3 linked regions of the Drosophila melanogaster genome follow. The protein of the gene in region 3 purifies or fractionates together with the protein of the main gene of each other region. This does not show direct contact. Each region holds a gene or a part of one and is shown on either strand. Other genes may lie near its edges.

Region 1 (7,416 bases), on a different chromosome or scaffold from region 3:
GCTGGCCGCAGAGGTACTAATACGCCAGTCAGAAGAGGATCGAGACTAATAAAGCGATTCGGAGCACGTAAATGCACCCAGAACATAACCTAACAATTTTCCAAGTAAAGATGGTGCTGGCCCAGTTTTGTTGCTGGCTGGGATTGTGGTTGTGTGTGGCAGGCGGTGCGCGTGGGTGGCGGAGGTGCTCCACTTACGTCTCGTACTGCTTGTTGGCTACTTTCTCCATGCTCATCCTGGCAATTATGATGCTGACTGGTAGCTGATACTGGTGCTCTCCTGCTGACTGCTTGGCTGTTCCTGTGGCGCTGTTCCAACCTCTGGAACGAGTACCTGTGGATCCGGGTGTTTGCACTACTAGATTCTTTATGCTGCTGCTTCTTCTGGCGCAATTCTTCTTTTGCTCCTTGGCTGCGCGTGTGTGTGTTGTGTGTGTGTGTGTGTGTGGGCAAATGGGTTTTTGGTGGATTCTCTTATGGGCGATTTTTTGGGGCAGCCGCTTTTTCGGGGAGCGGTTCGCTACGGGTCCGCCGCTCTCTCTGGTAAACAATCGTATTTCCTGTGCCTTATCCTTTCCGGTTATCAGTGGGTTTGCTTATTTTTTGGCCGTTTAGTTTTGGTTCGCTCGACTTTAGTTTGACGTTTCTTTTTGTACACAACACAACATGCGTCCGATTAAGTTCCACTTGCTATCCACATTCCACGCGGCGCTGTCAAAATCGACCAGTGCTGTAGGTCGAAGAAGAATTTTGACATTGGCCAGCACTGCACGTAGTGCAGTTACATACCCTACTGAAGTGGGTATATATGTTTCATTAATTTCATTAATTTTTCAACTCGAGTTAAATTGATTAATTTCCGTTGTTTGTTAGGGAAATTAAGTGACTCAAATACCAACATTTATTTCAACTCCAATAATTATAAAAATTTACTTTATAATGTAATCAATAATAAAATGAATAATTACATAAATAGTAAACATATATTCCAAAATATTTTTTAAGAATGCAGCAACACCGCTGACACAACATACCCCACATTTGGTTACAGGGTATCAGAGTATCGAATTTTTGCTGTCATTCTTCAAAAATCAGTTTGTTTACGTTCACCTGCAAGCCGCATAATGGGAAAAAGTGAGAAAAAATCAAAGAAAAAGCATAAGGAGAAGCGCAGGGAACACAAGGAAAAGCACAAGTCAAAGAAATCCAAGAAACACAACCGAAAAAAGGAAGAATCTCCGCCGATAGCTTCACCAACACCAATACAGCCTGAAAGGGTCAACCAGGAGGAGGAGGATGACTTTGCCATACCAATAGGTCCGTAAGAGCCCCCCTGTATATATTTATTATTGCTGAACACTCTAAACCCACCCCAAAACCCAAGCACTGATGAATAGCAAATCACATGCCCCGGAAACTCCAGAGGAATACCAGCGCCGTCAGAGCCAGATCCGCAAAGAGGTGGACCCGGTGACGGGTCGCGTCCGGCTCATCAAAGGCGACAGTGAGGTGCTGGAAGAGATTGTGACCAAAGAGCGCCACCTGGAGATCAACAAGAAGGCCACCCGCGGTGATGGAGAGTTCTACGAAGCCAGATCTCTGGACGCCGCCAAGCGTCGCAAATAGCTAATTTACCAAAAATGCAAAAATATAATAAGCTATTTCATGACTTGTAGTAATAATTAATAACTGTCAGTTTAATTAAACAAAGGGCTAGCTAGCGACTATATGTACACGCGAAATCCGTGGAAATTTCTTTGGTGGCGCAGCTAGTACAACTGATGGAAGAAGGTAGTGCTGCCGTCCTGCCAGGCGGGATCATCGCTAACCTTCGCCCTGCACATCGGACAGGTCTGTTCGCGCTTGAACCAGGTCTGGACGCACTCATCACAGAAAATGTGGCCGCACTCCAACACAGTGGGTGTGTTGAAGGCGTCATGGCAGATTGGACACAGGGCACCCGCAGCATCCAGCTCGTCTTTGGTCGGCGGCCGCTCAGAGTCCTTGAATAAATGTGTATTAGAAATGTGTACATAACAATCAAGTCTCAGGCATTCATACAATATTTTTTCTGAAGGTCACAATGGCTTTCTTTAGCGACTTGCCGCGCTCCACCAGCTCAAATATCTTGGCACCCAGGTACATTGCGGAAAAGAGTCCTCCGGAAACCACCTCCAGGCCGGAGTAGGACTCGTATAGAAATAGGAGCCACTGGGTAATGGGTGTCATTGCCCGGTAGAACTGCGAAATGTACTCCACCAACACATAAAGCCTAGCCTGAAATGCGAAATCAATGTATATAAATGGAAATGTATATTACAAATGGGACTTTCCATTTTCCATTTGATAATGTAAGCTCTTAATTAAATTGAAATTATGAATATTTTTGAGTTGTTAATGCATGAACTAAGATTTCATCATTAGCGTTAATTTTATGCTTTGGCATTGGGAATTTATCGCACATTGATCCCTGTGGAAAGGAATTACTCACCCGCACTTTAAGTCTCATCAAGTGGTGCGGCAGCATGGTAATAATAAGTTTGACCAGCATTGTCAGCAGTTTGATAATGAGATCGCTCACAGCAATGTAGTACAGCAACATGCCCAGTGGGATCACATTTAGAGATTTGTACGTATCTTTGTACATGTTGGTCTTGATGGGTTCGGACGATGTTGTGGGGCTGTCGCCTTCCGAGCTAGTGTGAAAAGGCAGCGCTGTGACCTCTATGAAAACGGATTTTCTGGAAGGCGGCACAATCAGTCCAAACGGATCTGGCGGCGAAGTGGCCAAAAATAGACGCACTGTAACCACCACGGCAACGAGGAAAGTATCCCGCACCATCACGGCGTAGTTCTTCTGAGCTAGACGGGCTACCTGATTGCGTACTGATCGGTTAACATTATACATCACAGTCTGCAGCACCAGAAGATCCACAATGCCCAGCAGGTGGTCGTGTAAAAACTTGAAAAACAGTATAAAGATAAGCGGCAGATATCGCACAAAATGGCTGAGAATCTGGACCACCATGTCATCCGAGATGAGATGTTCATCCTCTGGATTATTCTCTGCTGGCTCTGGTGGATTGCCACCTCCACCTCCGTTCTCCACGTTGCCATCGCTTTCGTCAAGGTCTTGGCTCTCATTTGCTTCGCGTTCGTCGAAGGCCGCCGGATTGCTGTTTAGTCCTATGGCACTGGCATTGTGCCGTCCTCCGTTAAGGCTGTGATTGTGTCGCATCTCACCCTCACGCAGCGAGATACTTCTACCCATAGCTCCAGCTGAACTGGCTCCAGATACGGCCGAAACGCGCCCGTATCGCAGAGGGCTGACTGGCTCAGGCATTGATGGTTGCTGCTGGCCGAGCAGTATGTGCGAGTTGTCTACGGGATTGGCGGCTGGCTGAGGTCCTGGTGCCGCGGGGGCTGCAGTGGTTGCAGGTGGATATCTAAAATTGGAATGTGAGATGAAGGATCGGAGCGCCTCTGTCGACGAGGCAGTTGAAAGCGAAAAGACATCGTTGAGGTTGACACGCCAAAAGCCCATTTGTCGAACACCTGCCGCAGTTCCTGGCGATGCTCCTGGTCCACCTGCTGCTCCGGCGCTGGACGGCTCCTCGAGACTGCCACCGGTGTTGGCGCCCATACTACGGGACTGCTGAAGACGACGGTTCATCTGTGTGGTCACCCGCACCGGGGAACTGCTGTTGCTGGCTGGCGTGTACGAGCGCTGACGGGCCAAAAATGTGGATAGAATGTTACCATGACGGACATTACCACCACTAAGGCTGCTGCTCCGCGCCGTGGGAACGTGTTGGTGGTCCAGGTTTACGCTGGTGCTGGTCGATCCTCCAGAGACGACGCCTCCACCTCCGACGCCACCACCAGAGGTCACCGAAGATGAGGAGGCAGGCAGCAGGTAGTCGTGTTCCGCCGTCGTCGAGTCATTGTCGTCGCTCTCGATGTTGATAGACACACCGGTCGATCCAGCGCCATCCTGGGGTCCAGAACCTCCTCCTCCTCCACGATAGGGATCCTTGGGGCTGTTGTTCATTGTTCCACATCCAATCTCCAATGCTTGGAGCTGGCCTTTTTTCACATAGAACACCAATACGTCTAACAAAGTCTTCCGTATTTTGCCTCCGTTGTCAGCTGGTCACACCAAAATCTAGCTTAAAATGAACGCGGTTAAAACCGAATTAAACACTATTAATACACATATACAATACACTAACTATCTTGAATTCAAAAAAATAACGTTTTTTATTTATAATAAGATAAGATTTATTTAAGATGAAAAAACACCACAAACTCTTCAAAGATAATTTTCAAAACAATAGGACATGTACGGTCACACTTTGGGGTGGAACATGTGTGGACTGTGGATTTATAAAAACAAACTCAGCTACTTTTTAACACAAATTTTTCATGGAGGTAGGGGTAACCTGTATTTCAGAGAGGGGTTAAAAATTTGGTTGGTGTCGATGGCAATTAAATAGCCTACATATTTCTACATGTCAGTAGTTGTGCTGAATCGGTCATTTTGTGGTTACATTTTTTAAGACAATTCGCTCTTGTGTTATTATAAATAATATAATTATAATTTAATGCATTATTTCAAAAATTTAATAAACAAAAATCCCTCTATCAGGCGAGCAAAAGATATATGCTAATTTTTGACAGCAGGTTCTCTCAGCCAGGTTGGCCGAGCGGTCTAAGGCGCCAGATTTAAGCTCTGGTTCTCGAGAGAGAGCGTGGGTTCGAACCCCACACCTGGCAAAAGTAAAATTTGTTTTTTTTTTTAGAATGACTCTTTTAATAACATTAATAAGATGAGGAAAATTATTTAATTTCCCTGGCAGAGAGTATTAGATTAACAAATTAATTCATCTGAACATGAGTCAGTGATAACCGAACAAATTGATTTCAACAGATTAAATATCATTCCATTTCGCAATATCTGTTTACTTTTTTTTAGATCTAGGAGTTTTTTAAACCAATTTAAGTTAATTTATTCACTAGAAATAAGAGACGGCTCTCTACCTCATAAATTATGCAAATCATTTTCAAATTTCTCTTTTTGGCCTCGTGGTGCAGTGTTCTCCACCTTTTCATGCACTTCGCTGGCCCATTGATAAGGATAATGGAAATGGCTCAGTTACCACCAACCAACCGCAATTAAGCTGACCCAAAGCCGTTGCCTGGTTACCCAAAAGGTGTCCACAACAACTGGCCGCGTTCAGGAAGCAGAAGGCCAAAACAACCACCGCCAGGAGTGCAGGCACCGCCGAAGGACCAAGGACAAACCCTTACAACCCGTCTGGTCAGTTCGGTTTGTGTATTTAGACAAGGAGTAACGTGTGCAACGTGTTAAATATTCAGCCAGATGCAGTTTATAAATGGTTCACTAATATAAATGGGTAAATAGAAGATACGAATATGTGCGGTTAATAGAAAGAAAACGTGTAAACGATCTAACGATATTACGTTCTAGATTTAACGTTCTAATATTTAAGTGAAAAGAAATTTCCTTGTTTTTAAGTATAGTGAATTACGCAAAGAACAAAAGAGTGTGTAACTAAACAATAAAAACAAATCCAACTATTATATTTATTATATATATCATGATATATGAAGAAACTACCCCAAATATTATTAAGCTTATTAAGCTCAAGTCATCTTCAAATCGCATAACAAAGAAGTGCCGCACAACAAGCTGAGTTCCAATCGAAATAAAGTTCGCATAAGTAAAAAATTAAGTCAAATGGGCAATTAAAATATAAATATTATTTATTGTACAATATATTGTGGTATAAAAGCTATATTCGTGCATGTGTGTATGTGGTGTGTGTGTGTGTGTGTGTGAGCGGTACACGTTTGTTTTTTAACGGCCTAATCTTCTTAGATGGATGTTGAACCCCAATGGCGTAAACAAAAAAAAAGAAATAGTATAGAATGCAAAAATATATATATATATATATATATATATATATATATATATATATATATGTACATATATATGCTATATAGATTTCTATATATTCCATTATTGATCAGTCTGTGTAATCTCTCTCGCTAAAGAAACGCCTGATGCTGGATGCTAGAGGCTAGATGCTGCTGTTCGATGCTTAAAGCCGATGCAGTGGCTCCAGCTCCGGCCGCTCCGTTCAATGAACCGGCACCGTGATGCGTGGCGATAAGGTTTTGGTCGCGCTGCGATTCCGGCGCTGCAAAAACAGCTTCACGTTCTTCAGGGGCAGCTGGAAATGATAGTATGCGCAATAGGGTAGTGGATCCCAGTAGGCAAACAATGCCTCCCGCTTGTCCAGCGCCGTCGTCGAAGTGGTTCTCTCCAGCGCCGACCAGCTCCAGTTGGGCAGTTCATCCTCGGGCAGTCCCCGCCTGTGGATGCACTTCATCGCACGGCACAGCAACTGGGCATGCGATCGATTGTGGCATATGTAGGGCAGGGCCACGCCCAGTCGCGTGCCCAGAGGCACGAACTGACCACCATGGGCGGGGCTCTTGACCAGGCGGAAGCTTATATGCCCATTGATGGGCCTCTGGAAGCGCACCTTGGCAAAGAAGGAGCGCAACCAGAGTTCTATCTGCGCCTCATCGTCCCTGGGCACTGGGATCAGATTCTTGGTATGATGCTCAACCCGACAACTCACATTGGCCACCACCCGTGAATCCTTGACGGTGGTGCAGGTCACATAGTGGTGATAGCCCGGCTGATCCCTTACCACTAGCCACGGTTGCCGCTCGCTGATATCGTGCTGATTCAGCTTTAGTTCCGCCCGCCTATTGGGCAGTATGTACTTGTGCCGCTCCAGGACTCCCTGCATCCCTGCGGCCATGAGTATGTTCCTATAGCTGCCCACGAAACCGCTCTCGTAGATCTGCTGCAATTGCCGTGGAGCTGTCAGCACCACATGGGCTGGCAGAGCCATCTGTTGCTGTTCGCATCTCTGAAAGAGCTGGAGGCAGTCATCCAGCTGCAGTGTCTCCTGCACGCCGGGTATGAAACTGGCACAGCCCAGGACCTCCAGATGTGGTCGGGCCAGGGAATCATAGTATGCCGGACTGGTGGCACAAACGGGTATATAGACCGAGGGTCGTTCCTTCTTCACGATGTGGCACAGGGCGGCTATGTACTGATCCGGATTACTGGCCGTTGGCCGTGGCACCACATAGAATTTGTCCACCGCTGTGGAAAATCTGGCCAATCCGAACAAACCCTCGAACTCAAAGACCACCACACGGGCGCCGGATCCGTAGAAGTTCCTGGCCAAATGTAGGGTCTGTATGGTGCTGCCGCAGCTGAGGAGTATGGTCTTCTGTCGCTGCACTGCACCCAGCTCCTCCTCGCCGCTCAGTAGCCACTTGACCAACGCAATGGGTACCCGCAGCAGTTTCC
Region 2 (7,771 bases), on a different chromosome or scaffold from region 3:
CTTTTGTGGCCTGTCTGCTGGCCGCATCGGTGGACGGCAATGGGTTCAGCACCCAGTATCGTGGTCACACGCAGCACCCTAGCCTGGCGGAGCACTGCCTCTACGAGGAGTTGGACCTGGCCGTTCCACTCAATGGCTACGTTCTGCCCTCCGGTCAGCAGGGCTACTGCATTCGCTTGGAGTGCACCGATGACTATCTGCTGTTGATACGCCAGTAAGTTTCGAGATTTGATCGCATGCCCTCACTATATCCCATTTCGCCCAATCCCTTCCAGCTGCGACAAACAGCCATGGCCGCGACCTGGCTGCCACCTCTCACCCAACGACTATGATTTCAAGTTCCCCGAGTGCTGTCCCCAACTCGAGTGCTCCGACGAATACTAGATACAAGATACTAGATCCAAAAGCATCGATCTGTTCGGAATTACTATTTCTATTTAAACTATAATCCATTGATCTTGTGGCAAAGTTAGCCAAAGTACTAGTAACAAGTATAATCTTTAGTTAAATAAAAACATATATAGTTTAAGAAACTAATGATGTTATCACTGGAACTGCAGCTGTTTCGCCAGCCTCCGGAACGAATCTGTATGTAACGAGAATTTTCCACCTATTTGATAAACCCGAGGACCCCTGAGACGCAATCGCACGGGAGCACAGGGATCTTGACCTTTCAGTCTAATCGCTGGCGCACCCCGAAACAAGTGGAACTATATAGTCGCCCAGCCGAGCGATCCGTTGATCAGTTAGCTACATAATATGAAATCGGTCACGTTCGTACTCTGCCTGCTCGTTCTGGGCGCCCACTCGCTGCTGGTGTTCGCCGGTAAGTGGATGCAGTGCATCGTCGCCACAAACCATTCAATCCCGCATGTTCATCTTGTTCATTCGTAGTGGATTGCGAGATCGGTGGGCATCAGTTCAAGACCGGAGAGAAGTACACGCCGGAAGGTCGCTGCCTGCAGTACACCTGCCAGGCACCCAAACAGGTGACTGCCTTGGGGTGAGTAGCTTCTACATGGATTGATGACTCCTTGACTCACCCACCTTGCCACTTGTGGCCATCCAGATGCCCGGCCATCGCCTCCTTGAAGCCCTGCAAAATGGAAGAGGATCTGAGCAAACCCTATCCCGGCTGCTGTCCCAAGTTCAACTGCTGACAACGCCTCCCTCGCAAGTCGAACTGCAAATGTGAAATGAACTATGAAAACTGAATATATAACTATAGAAACATACATACCTTAAATGAGAGATGCAGTTGGATGGATGGTTATGAGGGGTTCATACATAATTAGAATCAAGTTTGCCAGTTCTGCGTTTACAAAAACCAAAATAGCGCATTTATTTCGATTTCGATTTCGGTTTCGGTTTGGTATACATGCTTGAACTTAGTCGTATTTGCTCTCATACATATAGTAAATAATGTGTATACATATATAAATATTCTCGTGTCAATTGCCACTAATTCACCATTCACTTGGACATGCACACTGTTCGCTTGCATAACAAGTATATATGTATACATATATCTCTGCTTAACTACATCTACATATCTGCATTTGTATAGTTCTCTAAAATAACGAGGAGCAGCTTTATCCGGCAGTGACAAACTCGCACAAATCCTGTCCAGATACATCCGTATCTGCATCTGCATTTGTATCTGCAAATCCTCGACGGCGGTTGCCATTAGATACTCGTAATTGATTGCATTCACTAACGCAGACACAGGAGCAACTGGGTCTTGCATTAACGGATACAAATTAATGGGTATACGGTAGAGATACACAAGTCCAATAACTTGGGCTGCAGCTATACTTGTAGCATTGTCGATTTAACCGATTGTAACCTGAGCTAGTCTAAACATTCTTTAACTATGGTCCGGCGGCCCGAGGGCCATTAAGTTGATGTGGGCTTACAAGTTAGTACAAATTGCTACACTTTAATGCTTAATTGGGACAAAATGGATCTTTGCGTTTGCTATATGTCCGTGTTTTTTTTTGTTTTTTTTGTTTGGGGGTAATTAACCTAGATGAGGCCGATCCTCGCCTCCTGGTCCATTTCACTCCGGGGTCGCCAGCTGCGGCGCCAGCGACTCCTCCTCTCATTGGCGCGCCGCACGCTCCGTTTCCATGAGGCATTCGCGCACCAGGATGCGGGCATGGACAATGCCCCGCTTGAGACGCTCCGTGGAGCTGCGCGAGCCCGTGTACGTGGGCCGGATATCGCGGCCCATCTCCTCAATGACGGCCAGCAGCTGGGCGTACTTGGTCAGCCCATTGCCCGGGCCCACTGAGGGCAGGCTGGCCGTGGAGGTCAGCGGCGTGGTGATATTGGCCGAAGTTTGGGTGGTCACCACCACGGGCGAGGTGGAGGGTGGCGGGTACTTTAGCTGCGATGAGCTCAGATTCAGGCCCATGCTCTGGCCATTGCTGCCAGAGGAGGTGGAGGAAACGCCGGCACCGGAATTCCGCTGACCACCATTGCTGGAGCACATGTTGGCCAGCGAGAGGGCCGCAGCGGCGACGGCTGCCGGCGTGGCCGTCGTGTTCGACTGCTGCTGGAGTAGCGCCAGCTGGGCCTGGAGGAACTGCGGGGAGTATTGGAGGGCAGCGACGGCGGCGGCAGCTGCTGCTGCATTGGCCGCTGCAGCGGAGCTCTGCTTGCTGGACGAGCTGCTGTAGTCGCTGGCGGAGGAGCGGTCCCGCTCCCGCTTGCCACCGCTGCTCGTGGAGTAGTCGGTGGCAGCGTTGGATGAGTTGGATCCGCCTCCTCCGCCAACGGATCCACGCGAGTGGTGGATGGCCGATATCTGGATTTGGGGCTGCTGCTCGCGCTGCTCCCGCTGCTGCTGGTAATTGTAGAAATTCTGCACTTGGCTGCGCGGTATCGGTGTCACCGTGACGTCACTCAGCTTGGACTCTACGGCCTGGATATCCATGATGTCCATGGTGGCGCTGGGCGATGTGGTGTCTGGAGTCGATATCCGTCGGTTGTTGTGGTAACTTAACTATGTCCACCTTTCCGTTTTCCTGGCACACAAAACTACTAGTTTTTAGCGTTTCTTTTTTGGTTTATTGTTTTTTGTGATATGATATCGATATCGATATCAGGAGGCGTTATTACGCTTTCCCTTCAACGCACAAACAAATACACCCCCACCAACAAAAGTCGATGGTTCGGATTATAGTATCGATAGACAAGCGCGATGCAAAGTGCCCACCTATTCGCGTCTCGAATGTGGGTGTTTCCACTGTACAAGCAATTTGTATACATGTGGAAAGCTCTTTGTCCAAATTGGTAAATGGCTAAATGTTTTTGAAAAAAAGATAATTAACAACCATAAAACTACAAGAAAATTACAAAATTTAACCCAAGTGCATATGTATACATGAATGACAAAACGGTAAAACCATGCAAATGAATAACCATCCACGTCGAATAATACCTAGTTCACCCTGATAAGGCACTCCCAATTTGTCTTATTAAACAGCTAATTTTGTTAGGGCTTAAAAATACCCAACGTTATGTATGTCTAGTGTTGTCTAGTTTCGGGGGGCGGAAAAGCCAATTGCACACAAATATACAAAGTATTGCCGAAACGTTGATTCTTTCAATAAATAAGGCACATTTTAATGAACTTATGCTTATGCCAACAAAAGCGGTCGCTTATTTTTATTACTTATTGATATAAATTCCAAAACAGCTGACATTTTTAACGGTTACTTTGCCTAGTGTTGGCCAAGACATCAATCTTAATAATAAACTCTCAAGTTGTCAAAATTATACTTGTATTTCTACTAAAAAGTCATAAATATACCCAAAAACTACTTAGCCAATAGTAACCCTGCTTAATATGGATTTTATTCACTTATTAACACGCCAATTGTCTCACTTTTCAAACACAACGGCTGATTGCCAGCACTGTTTGCGCTGCAGTCCAGTGCTGCGCAACGCGGCGGGGACAAAAAACAATGGCGAGGCGAAACTAAAAAATTGTGTTGCTGACATCTGGTCGCTTGCAAAACTATTTCTAGCAGATTTTGTGATATTTCGTTGTGATCGGTCGATAAATCCGCCAGTTTTTTTTTTAATGGAAAGTGCTAACACATTGTAGCGGTTGGGAAGATAGCAGGAAAGGTGAGCGAAAGGCAGAAGATTGCGAAAAATTCAATTAAATTTCCGCGACCGTCTGTTTTCTGCATCGGTGTGTGTTTGTGTTTGCTCGCAAGTGTGTGTGGGTGCTCTGTGTATGACGTAAAGCGATAAAGCAAACGCATTCCCCCCACTCCTTGCATATGTGTGTGTGTGCAAGTGTTGTGTTTCTCTCTCATCAGTTTTGCATCTAATTAGGAGCGGAAAGCATTGATTGGCTGCCAAACGCCGCGGTTTGTTGTTTTTTTCGCTGCATTTCGGCCAAAAGGCTTGCCGCAGCTGCATATGTGTCGCTATGTGTGTGTCAGTGTTGCACAGTGCCGCCAGTGCCCACAAAATGGGCGCACAACAACAAAAGCAGCAACTCGGTTGGGATTTTCGCGATCCTACGCTGGCTCGGAGCTCCCCTTTTCCTATTTCCAATTCCCAGCCAGCGGGCTGCCGTTTTTCCTTTTTGTTATCCGTTGCCAGACGCAACGAAAACGACAGTTGGCATTTGAATTCAGCACAAACACACATACTAACGCCGACCCGCAAGCAGCACACACACACACACTGGGACACTCGAAAAAAAAAAAACAGACGCTGTCGGCGACCTCGACAAGCAGTTGGGTTCGATTTAGTTGTCAATGCCTTGAATTCGGTTCGGGGCTTAGTTTCCACAAGTTTATCGCTCGTCAAGAAACAACGAAATAAAATTATTTTCGACCTAAAAAATCTGACTAAATTGTGTTTTTTGTTTATGTATTTATTTAGGCACATTTTGCACACCACAACGTAGTTACTACATCTACGACTAACGGAACTCCTCCTGCAAGCAGTGGAAGTTGCTGTCCATCAAGCAGTACTCGGAGTTAACGCAGGATAAGCCGGGAGAAAGAGAAAGAGATCGGTGGAGAATAGAGATATACAGGTGGAGTCAAAGAGGAAGGATCATGGACATGATTACGGTGGGGCAGAGCGTCAAGATCAAGCGGACGGATGGCCGCGTCCACATGGCCGTGGTGGCGGTGATCAACCAGTCGGGCAAGTGCATCACAGTCGAATGGTACGAGCGCGGCGAAACGAAGGGCAAGGAGGTAGAACTGGACGCCATACTCACGCTCAATCCGGAGCTAATGCAAGATACTGTCGAACAGCACGCCGCCCCGGAGCCCAAGAAACAAGCCACCGCGCCGATGAACCTCTCGCGTAATCCCACACAATCGGCTATCGGTGGCAATCTCACCAGCCGTATGACCATGGCCGGAAACATGCTGAACAAGATCCAGGAAAGCCAGTCGATTCCCAATCCGATTGTCAGCAGCAATAGCGTGAATACAAACAGCAACTCCAACACTACGGCCGGCGGAGGTGGTGGCACCACAACGTCGACGACCACTGGATTACAGCGTCCACGGTACTCGCAAGCTGCTACCGGCCAGCAGCAGACAAGGATCGCCTCGGCGGTGCCTAATAACACATTGCCCAATCCCAGCGCGGCAGCCAGTGCTGGTCCGGCGGCACAAGGAGTCGCCACTGCGGCCACAACCCAGGGAGCTGGCGGCGCTAGTACCCGGCGATCGCACGCATTGAAAGAGGTGGAGCGACTGAAGGAGAATCGCGAGAAGCGACGCGCCCGACAGGCCGAGATGAAGGAGGAGAAGGTGGCGCTGATGAACCAGGATCCGGGCAATCCAAACTGGGAGACGGCGCAAATGATACGCGAATATCAGAGCACGCTGGAATTTGTGCCGCTGCTCGATGGCCAGGCCGTCGATGACCATCAGATCACAGTGTGCGTGCGCAAGCGTCCCATTAGCCGCAAGGAGGTCAATCGCAAGGAGATCGATGTCATTTCGGTGCCGCGCAAGGACATGCTCATCGTGCACGAGCCGCGCAGCAAGGTCGACCTCACCAAGTTCCTGGAGAACCACAAGTTTCGCTTCGACTACGCCTTCAACGACACGTGCGACAATGCCATGGTATACAAGTGAGTATCCAATCCAAATAACAAGCTCCAAAACAACTCCATATATGGTCTGTTTGAATTACTAGTAGTGATTCTAAACAAACGCTCGATATGGTGACCACACATTCCAATGTCTTGGGGAGGCTTCTTCAATTACTAATGCGTATCCTTGCTAGCAAACGGCTTTATTTCAATTGAACTGAACTATAGAAAATCTTATTTCGTTATAGATGACCCTCTATAGCTATCATTCAATCTTAAACCTAATTTGTTGATGCAGTGGAATCATATATAGTATAAAGCAGCATATCCTTTAAAGAAATCATTGCCCCATTTATCAGATTTCCATCGAGTAACCAAATGTGCCAGTCACTTTTCGAGCTCGTTTCGTTGGCGCATCTCTGTTAGAGCGACCCATTGAGTCATGCCGACAGAGACGGCAACAGAGCCACACACATGCATCATGAAAGCGGTTGCTCCCGAAATAGCCAAGTTCGTTGAATGACTAACTTGGAAGCCCCAGACGCTTCACCTGCCCCCGCCCGGCCACTCCGTCCGCCGATCTGCACACGAGCTCTCTAAACCCAATTCTCCAGCGGAAGAGATTTCGAAAAAGTAACTGCCTTGTGGCCCGGCATTTGTCCATTAGCAATTGTTTGGCTTCAATTGAATTAAAGCTGCTACGGCTGCTGCTGCCCCTTTCCTTTCTCCGCCAACTTCTTGCTTAGCTTCTCTTTCCGGTTTTCGCACTCGTATGTATTGTGTGGCTGTCGGGAATTGGTAATGCCATTAGTTGCGTCACGGCAATCGCTTAAGTATAGCCCAAAAAGTATACCCCATGAGTAATATAGCCCGGCATTAATGCACAAAATCTCGCCGATGATAACGTAGTCTCGTGTTGACAAATCCAAATGGGTGAATCAACTGCTGACATCGTGCGTTATCAATACTCAGTATTGGCAGAAAACAATGCAACTTACACATTTATTGATTACATTTCAATATGCGTTCCTTAATTAGTCGTATGTATAATTCTTATCGATAATCATTTTTACTAAGCAACTGCTAACTTTGAATGCAAATCGATGTATTTATCTATGATTAATGCTAAAGTCTGAAACACAACAGTCCATATAGTATTGAATGCTTGCATATAGCACATATCTGCATTGAATAACCATGCTAATCTATAATCTTGCACTTCATCCGCGCAGATACACAGCCAAGCCGTTGGTGAAAACCATTTTCGAGGGCGGAATGGCGACGTGCTTCGCCTACGGCCAGACGGGATCGGGCAAAACGCACACCATGGGCGGTGAGTTTAATGGAAAGGTGCAGGACTGCAAGAACGGCATCTACGCCATGGCGGCCAAGGATGTCTTTGTGACCCTGAATATGCCGCGTTACCGCGCCATGAATCTAGTCGTCTCGGCCAGTTTCTTTGAGATTTACAGTGGCAAGGTGAGTGAGACAACATACAACTTGGCATGATTATCATACTTAGCTGTATTAATCGATCGTTGTGTTGTTGCCATAGGTCTTCGATCTTCTGTCCGACAAGCAGAAACTGCGCGTCCTGGAGGATGGTAAACAGCAAGTGCAGGTGGTGGGACTCACCGAGAAGGTGGTCGATGGCGTCGAGGAGGTACTGAAGCTCATCCAGCACGG
Region 3 (8,255 bases):
GATAGCACGGATCCGCGAGGAGCTGCTGAGCCGCGGCTGCAAGCTGCCACCGGAGAAGGAGAAGGGTGAACACTTTGACTCCAACTGCATCACGCCGGGCACCCCGTTCATGGACCGACTGAGCAAGTGTTTGCACTACTTTGTTCATGATCGTCAAAACAATAACCCGGCCTGGAAGGGCATCAAGGTGATCCTGTCGGACGCCAATGTGCCCGGTGAGGGTGAGCACAAGATCATGGATTACATTCGCAAGCAGCGTGCCCAGCCTGATCACGATCCCAACACGCAGCACGTCTTGTGCGGAGCCGACGCCGATCTCATCATGTTGGGTCTGGCCACGCACGAGCCCAACTTCACAATCATTCGGGAGGAGTTCCTGCCGAATAAGCCGCGTCCCTGCGACATCTGCAACGGATTTGGCCACGAGATGGACAAGTGTGTCGGACTCGGAGCGACTGCGCCAACTAGCGCCAATTTTAAGCCCGATGTGCCCATAGGCGCCGAGGTAAAGTTCATCTTTGTGCGGCTGAGTGTGCTACGCGAGTACCTAAAGCAGACTCTTGAGATGCCGAATCTGCCATTTGAGTACAGTTTCGAGCGCGCGTTGGACGACTGGGTGTTCATGTGCTTCTTTGTGGGCAATGATTTTCTGCCCCACCTGCCTAGCCTGGAGATTCGCGAGGGTGCAGTAGATCGATTGGTGGAGTTATACAAGAAGTGCGTTTACAAGACAAGGGGCTATCTCACCGACTCGGGAGATGTAAATCTTGACCGGGTGCAGCTGATTATGACCGACTTGGGCAATGCCGAGGACCAGATCTTCAAGAGCCGACAGCGACGCGAGGAGCAGTTCAAGGCCAGGGACAAGGCGCGCAAGAGGCAGGAAAGGAATCAGGACCACGGATCCTTGAATCAGTCTGCTTTTGGCGCCAGCGCCGTGGGTCCAAACAGCCAGCAAAGGAGCGTCGGCAACTACAAGGAGGAGGCCGCGGCACTTCGTAATAGAAAACGGACGAGTGACATGGCCAATTTGGATGACGAAGATGAGGAGGAGAATAACGACGAGGTGCGATTGTGGGAGGATGGCTTCAAGGACCGCTACTACGAATCCAAGTTTGACGTGGCACCGGGTAACCAGCAGTTCCGATACGCTGTAGCCCTGCAGTATGTCCGAGGATTGTGCTGGGTTCTTAAGTACTACTATCAGGGCTGTGCCTCCTGGAACTGGTACTTCCCATACCATTATGCACCCTTCGCATCGGATTTTGTCAACATCCAGGGACTGTCCACGATGTTCGAAAAGGGCACAAAGCCGTTTAATCCGCTCGAGCAACTGATGGGCGTCTTTCCGGCAGCCAGTAGTTCACACGTGCCCGAGCCGTGGGCCAAGCTCATGTCCGATCCGGAGTCACCGATCATTGACTTCTATCCGGAGGACTTTAAGATCGATCTGAATGGCAAGAAGTTCGCCTGGCAGGGAGTGGCTCTGCTGCCGTTCGTCGATGAGAAGCGTCTCTTCAAGGCTTTGGTTCCCTACTATGATCAACTTACTGGAGAGGAGGTGAAGCGAAACAAGCGTGGAGACAATTACCTGTACATCAGCAATCAGAGTCCGCACTACAAAAAGGTGAAGAAAATCAGCGAAAAGGATGATGAGAGCGTTTGCAAAGCCATCTCATTTGACGGTATGCGCGGCACTTTGGGAAAAACCGAACTAAACACTGCCATCAGCGGCGTTCTTAAGTCGCCGATTTCCGGGCTATCGGACATTAATGACAATATAACCGTGACGACCACGTTCAGGGATCCGGAATACGATGAAGACTACATTTTCGAAGCGAAGCGCCTCGAAAACGCCGTAGATCCGCCACAGGTGCTGCCAAATGAGCAGTCTGGTAACAAGCATCGTCCCGTCATCGGTTTTAATAGCCACTTGACCAGGGCCTACGTTCCGGATAGTGGTCACCGCATGCTGAACGCTGGCATAAGGAACCAACAGGGTGGCGGTGGCAATGGAGGTGGAGGAGGAGGCTACGGGCAAGGAGGCGGCTACGGCCAGGGAATAGGCGGAAACCAAGGACAGAGCTATCAGAACAATAGCCGAAACTATAACTACAACTACAACAATAACTACAATCAGCACCAGGGTGGCGGCTATCAAAACAACTACAATAACCGACAGCAGCAGCAATATGGCCACAATCAGAGATTCAACCAGGACAATTCGAATCAGCAGCAGCGCAACTTTAACAACTATAATGGTCCAAGGAACAACAACTACCAGCAACAAGGCGGCAGCAGGCAACAGAATCAGAATTATAGACGGTTTTAGGTGTATCATACAAACAATATAATATGTAGCGCATAACAAAAGTGTAATCCATATTAATTTACATTATTTTTTAATGAAGAAAATATACTGATTAAGGATTTCCAAACAAACTCATGCCAAGTTCTGAGTTTGTTCTTTAAATGAAATACCCATTGCATTTCTATCAAAGCAGCTTACAGCCAACATCTAGTCTTAGTGCCTCAAAGAAAATAAGTCAAATTACAATAATGATCATTTCTCTTTCCATTGATTGCGTAAAAAAAGCAAACTAGCTGGATAATACAAAAAAATGAGACGATTGTTATTTTCAGATAAGGAAAATGGAACATAATTTGACAGGAAATTGGATAATATCAAAACAATTTCTAGTGGAGTAAACAATTGAATTTAAGAAAAACTTCGCAAACATTTTGTTTTAAATCCGGAGTCATAATAAATCCAGTAGTTTTTATGGAATAGCATTCGCTATATTTAACGAATGGAATGTTATTATTTCGATTTCCATGTAACATAATAAATATTTTAATTTCGAAAACAATACTCATTACAACTATGCGAGAATCTTAAAGTTTACAAGGGGCTTTTCTTAAAACGATTGTGCTTTCTTAACAGGGAAAAGTTCACTGAGCTTGAAAAATATATAGATTATATTTACGAATGCTTCAAAATCCATGAGCTTAAACGAAAGCGAATAGTTAGAAATATGTATCGATTATATGAATACGCTTAAAAGGTAACACAATGTGAGCTTAGTTCACGTTCGATTCGGAAGAGTTTAGCTATCGGTTCGGCATCTGTTGCGAGCTTATCAGATATTGGTGATAACGTTCTTGTTGCGATCGGATATGCTGTCGAACTTGCCATGGCTGGAGAATGGCGTGCGCATGCGTCGCGTGAAGCTGCGAAGGCAACGCTGTCCATCCAGACTGTCCGGATTGTTAGTCACCGCAAGAAGATTGACTAAAATGAGTTGCAGAAACGTTAGAAATTGTAAACATCCAGATAACCAACCACCTTAAAGTTTAAGTTGTTATACAACTATTTATCTTATCTTACCTCGTTGCTCGAGCAGTTTAATCTGTTTTTTGGCCTCTCTCAGCTTGTTCATCAGTATCTCGTTCTTGCGCTTCTCCACGGTCAGCTCCAGGCCGAGCTGCAGCTTGCTCTTGGAGTCAACAGCACTCAGAATTCTGCAAATTAAACGAACATTATATGTATTTAGTGTGAGCACATTTATCTTAAATGCAACTAAATATGATTGTCGCTTATACTGTCGACTCAATTTACTTACGGATGACTGAATATAGACTGCGAAGTGGGCCTCTTGTCGGGATAAGGATGCATCATCTGGGCTATGAGCTCGTTAAAATCCCTGCTCAGGCTCGGCAGAATCGGCACCTTGCCATCTCGCAAGTTGTGCCATTCGGGTCCATTTTTAGGCAGCGGACCACCGCCGGCCGCCTCGAACAGCGTGATGCCCAGGGAAAATATGTCGGCCTTGAAGAGATTCGAATAATCCTCGTGAAGGATCTCCTTGGGCAGGTAACGACAGTCTCCCTCCTCGACGTAGGGTTCCTTAACGGAGGTCACGTGTCCCAGGTCGCCGATCTTGTACGTAACCAGATTCTCTGAATGGCGCAGTTCTTCATAGACGCTGTCCATGCCATCGTCATCTTTGGTCTGCTGCGGCTGCACCTCCACCAGCTTGTGTGCATTGGGATTCATGGTGGAGAATATGTTTTCGGGCTTCAGATCCATGTGCACCAGGTCATTTGAATGAATATAGCGTAGGCCCTCTATCACATGCATGAGAACAATCTTTAGCTCTGCCTCACCCAAACAATGATCTTGGATGCGCGCGTGCAAGCTGCCACCATCGCAGAATTCATTCTGTATCAGCATATGATCGTCCTCCGCCCACGCGGAATAGTATCTAACCACGTTATCGTGCTTGCCCAATACAGCATGGGCCCAGACCTCGTTCAGGGCTCTCTTTCTGCAAGCAAATAGATTGTTAAACGACGCTCGTTGCAATAACTAATGAATACTCACTCGAAAGAACTGCCTGCCACCGGCTTCTTACTCTTTTTAATCGCATATATGCAGCCATCTAGTCGATTGACGCATTGGAACACCACACCGAACTCGCCAACGCCGATTACGTTGACTTGCATGAACTCCCGCTTGAAGCGACTGATGTTCGTGTCGTGCAGGGCCAGCCGCTTGGGTGCCTGCTGGTGGATTTCGCGCATCGAGTCGCCCGCCTCCTCCGTCACATCGTCGTCGCAGGCATCACTGAGCAAATACTTTTGCATAGCATTCACGTTCAGGTTGAGGTTTTCGCGTCCGAATTGCGTGCGACAGCGCTTCTTATTGTGAGCCATGAGGCCTAAAAATAAAAAAAATGATTATTAGATTGCTAATAAGACTAAGCTGGGATGGGTTAAAGTGGAGTGCAAATTAAAGCAACGAACTGGAAATTGATACCTTTATTTAATTAAAATATCAAAAGCGAGAAACGTTTTAAACTTACTATCTGGCGTGAAGGGGTTCACATTTGCCGTGTCCTGGGTGGGCAGTTTGCGGTTGTGCAGTGGCAGAGATCGCGGGCGCTCTGACAGGCGGAAGAGGTCGTCGCTGCGCCTGGAGGCATTCACTGCCGCTGCTGCCGCCGACAGATGGTTGCTGCACTGCGTCGTCGACTTCTGCAGGATGGTCTTTGGAGTGGCCGGTGTGCTAAAGAGTCGCAGGGCCCGCACCTTTTGGCATGGCGGCGACATGGACACGTCCCCGTCGCCGCCTTCTTTGCCTATCTTACTGTCCAGCTGCTGCTCCTCACCGGAGGATAGCTTCGGCCGCTGCTGAAGGGGATGCTGCGGACTCGCTCCCTCGGGCGTGTCCTTGTCAAAGTCATCATCGGCGAAGCGGAGCTTGCGCGGATTGAAGACCTGCGGCGATGGCGAACGCGATCTCAGTTCGACGCTTGAATCGAGTGAGGTGACGCTCATCTCGTGCTCCGACTGGCGGAATGCCATTGTTGCTGTAGCTGTCCAGCTGACCACGTTGAAAGACGATTCTGTTCGTTATTTCTGATTTCAGAACTATTTGTATGGAAGCCGGCGGCAGTAAAGTAAAGGCAATAGTTAAAAAAAATGCAAAACAAAACACAAAACAAAATTTAACTGGAGGAATGCTAGTCTAATAATGTGGCCGTACCCGATGCGCAATAAAATACCAGCTCTGACTGAAAAAATACTAAGTAACTGGAAGTGCAGAGTTACCAAACAAACAAAATACTAAACATCTGGCAAAAATACCAATTTAAATAATGCGCACCTACTTCTAAACTGAGTGACCAGACTTGTTCAAGACCGCATAAAGCCCGCCAAATTCAAATGGAAAACAACTAATTTTGGCATTTAATTTATTGATTGAATATCTGTATTTTAGTGTTCAGCGCATTTGCTACATAATTCAAACACACATCTCAAGAATCCATACATATGTATTTTTTTAATACTTAACTATGACATCAATGTATGAATAATTATTATGCACTGTTGCAATACTTAATTATTACGAATATAGAAACACATCATACAGAGATTGGAGTCAAATAATCAAGTTGTTGTGTTGCATAAATTGAAAATTGTGTAAAATTGACATGAAAATGGTGGCGATGCTTCGTCCTCTGCACATTCGAGTATAATTCCAGGGTAAGCAAAATAAAATCCAAGGCAAATCAATTTACATAGCAATCCTGACTAGATCGTTAATCTGCGGCTGCCGATACATTTCTATATCTTAAATTTCCTTCCGTCAAATGATTTTCCGAAGCGCTCTCCTTTGTTCTGCGTGTGCTTGTATTTGTTGTTGTGTTGGAACATTAGAATACCTAAATATGCAAACTCGAGTTCCACTATAAATTAAAACCCTTAACTAATATGGTTTTGGACAACTAAAAACCTTAGATGGATACTGCATGAAAAAGTATTTGGGAATCTGTCTTGTTACACGTGAGGTTGTTTCTTTTGGGAATGAGGATTAGAGTCCAGTGCGTGGAGAGCCCATCTCGCCGGATTCATCGGGGGGTTGCAGCTCCGGCCCTCATCATCGCATGTCGGGCTCCGTCTGCATCCGTTCGCTGTCGCTAGTCCCTTGAAACGGATCGTGAGGCGGACGAGTCACCACGACGCCTGGGCGGCGATCCACGGCGCACCGCTGGCGACGCCGATCGAGATCGGGAACGCGACCGCGGCGATCCCCTAACCCGGTCATCGTCCTCATCCTCATAGCGCCGTTTTGGCGGCGGCGGTGAATCTACCGCTCCACTGCCGTTGCGCTCGTGGTCGCTGTACCTCGACGCCGATCCGTTCTCGTCCCGTCCGTTCGAGCGGCCGGAGCGACGGCCCACCGAGCCGGCGGAGCGACTGCGGGATCGAGTTCCGGACTTGGAGCGAGTGCGCCTGCGTCGCGATGTGCTCCGAGATCTGCTGAATGAGTTGCTTCTGGAAATGAAATGGGATAAATCGTCGTGATTAGCTATCAGGCTTTTCAAAAAACGTAACAATTTAAGCTACCTTATATATGTATATACTAATATACTAATACATTTAAATATATTATAGTGTGCTATATTATTTGAAACATTGTAAGTATCAAAACTAGCTTTTAGCAGATTAAGTTTTAACAGCTTATTGAATAAAACACAAGACAGTATAATATTCTAGAACCTCTCCCAGTTTTAATTCTGCATTTCACATAAAGATCACATGTATAATATAGCTTGCTCAATGCTTGCCGCCCTTCTTTTTGTAGTGCTTGTGGCCGTGCTTCTTGGAGCCCTTCTCGCCGTGCTCCTTCTTCTCCTCGAAGCTGTCGCCGTACTTGTGCTCCTTCTTGTACTTCTTGTGGTCCTCGTCGTGGTGACCCTTCTTGTAGTGTCCGTGGTGCTTCTTGTGACCCTTCTTTTTGCCGCCCTCGTGCTTTTCGCCCTTCTTGTGCTCGCCGTGCTCCTCGGCATGATGATGGTGCTCCTTTCCATACTTCTTATGATGTCCGCCCTTGTGCTCATCATCGTAGAACTTCTTCTCCTTGATGTACTCGTCCTTTTTGAACTTCTTGTGGTATTCTAATTCCTTGTGACCCTTCTTGTGCTTCTTTTTGTGATGATGTTTGCCGCCCTTCTTGTGAGCGCCGTGTTCATGCTTCTCACCATGCTCATCCTTCTCATCGTAGTGTTTCTTCTTCTTCGATCCCTTGTCGCCGTGGTGGTGCTCGTGGTCTTCCACCTCGTGGTGCTTCTTCTCGTCCTCTTCCCATTCCTTGTGCTCCTTGTGTCCGTGCTCACCCTTGTGCTCCTCGTCACCGAACTTCTTCTTCTCGTACTTGTCGCCACCCTCCTCCTCCTCGGATGATGAGGCCTCCTTCTTCTTGGCTGCCGCGTAAGTCAGCAGGAGTCCCAGGACCAGCAGCAACTTAAAATGACCATGCATCTCGCATAGTTTTCTCGTTCAAATGGCACCAGTTGCAATCGCATTTATATACCACGCCGTTGACCACAAAATGGTCAAAATGACTGGGCCTGGCATCATGATGCAAGCAATTGGGGCTGACGTAAAAACTTTCTGCTCCATTGGTCCCTTTACCGCAGTCAAACGTACTTTTTACCTCGCAGCGAGTGACGGATTGGCCTCCAAAATTGGGAGCTGCTTTTGAAATATGTTGCTAAGCTTCGCAGACAAGAACTGAATGCCTAAGAGGTAGCTTAGTTCTTAAAATCAAAGGACATTAAACAATTGCAATTGCTTTCTTAAGAATTAAGTATATCAAAACCAATACGAATAACATATTAACATTTGTATTTTGTTATGCAAATATTACATTTTATTTCTAATGTACACCGGAAACTTTAATCGTTTTG

What was found.
Region 1: the proteins of Wee1 (region 3) and CG13605 purify together in Drosophila melanogaster (affinity purification with western blotting, with the first as the bait; one study listed by BioGRID). This does not show direct contact.
Region 2: the proteins of Wee1 (region 3) and Klp10A purify together in Drosophila melanogaster (affinity purification with western blotting, with the first as the bait; one study listed by BioGRID). This does not show direct contact.

The regions. Positions count from the first base shown.
Region 1 is NT_033777.3:24,108,273-24,115,688, forward strand, and holds CG13605 (uncharacterized protein), read right to left. Parts: upstream 4,118-7,416; 5' UTR 4,051-4,117; coding exon 2,491-4,050; intron 2,277-2,490; coding exon 2,061-2,276; intron 2,003-2,060; coding exon 1,769-2,002; 3' UTR 1,672-1,768; downstream 1-1,671. Other genes in the region: eIF4EHP (eukaryotic translation initiation factor 4E homologous protein), read right to left, coding at 198-235; CG10694 (uncharacterized protein), read left to right, coding at 1-49; CG18428 (uncharacterized protein), read left to right, coding at 1,124-1,316, 1,384-1,625; CG13607 (uncharacterized protein), read right to left, coding at 6,164-7,416.
Region 2 is NC_004354.4:11,133,233-11,141,003, reverse strand, and holds the start of Klp10A (Kinesin-like protein at 10A), read left to right. Parts: upstream 1-3,885; 5' UTR 3,886-4,137; intron 4,138-4,225; exon of another isoform or gene 4,226-4,908; 5' UTR 4,909-5,087; coding exon 5,088-6,124; intron 6,125-7,317; coding exon 7,318-7,564; intron 7,565-7,640; coding exon 7,641-7,771. Other genes in the region: CG15199 (uncharacterized protein), read left to right, coding at 1-214, 276-384; ssp7 (short spindle 7), read left to right, coding at 760-826, 895-1,003, 1,070-1,160; CDK2AP1 (CDK2-associated protein 1), read right to left, coding at 2,102-2,947. UniProt on the Drosophila melanogaster protein: Required during anaphase to drive sister chromatid separation to promote flux by actively depolymerizing kinetochore microtubules at their pole-associated minus ends, thereby moving chromatids through a 'poleward flux'.
Region 3 is NT_033779.5:6,908,561-6,916,815, forward strand, and holds Wee1 (Wee1 kinase), read right to left. Parts: upstream 5,579-8,255; 5' UTR 5,368-5,578; coding exon 4,866-5,367; intron 4,722-4,865; coding exon 4,385-4,721; intron 4,329-4,384; coding exon 3,624-4,328; intron 3,523-3,623; coding exon 3,389-3,522; intron 3,293-3,388; coding exon 3,141-3,292; 3' UTR 2,530-3,140; downstream 1-2,529. Other genes in the region: Rat1 5'-3' exoribonuclease, read left to right, coding at 1-2,332; x16 splicing factor, read right to left, coding at 6,483-6,840; CG32829 (uncharacterized protein), read right to left, coding at 7,123-7,827. UniProt on the Drosophila melanogaster protein: Acts as a negative regulator of entry into mitosis (G2 to M transition). This kinase specifically phosphorylates and inactivates cyclin B1-complexed CDC2.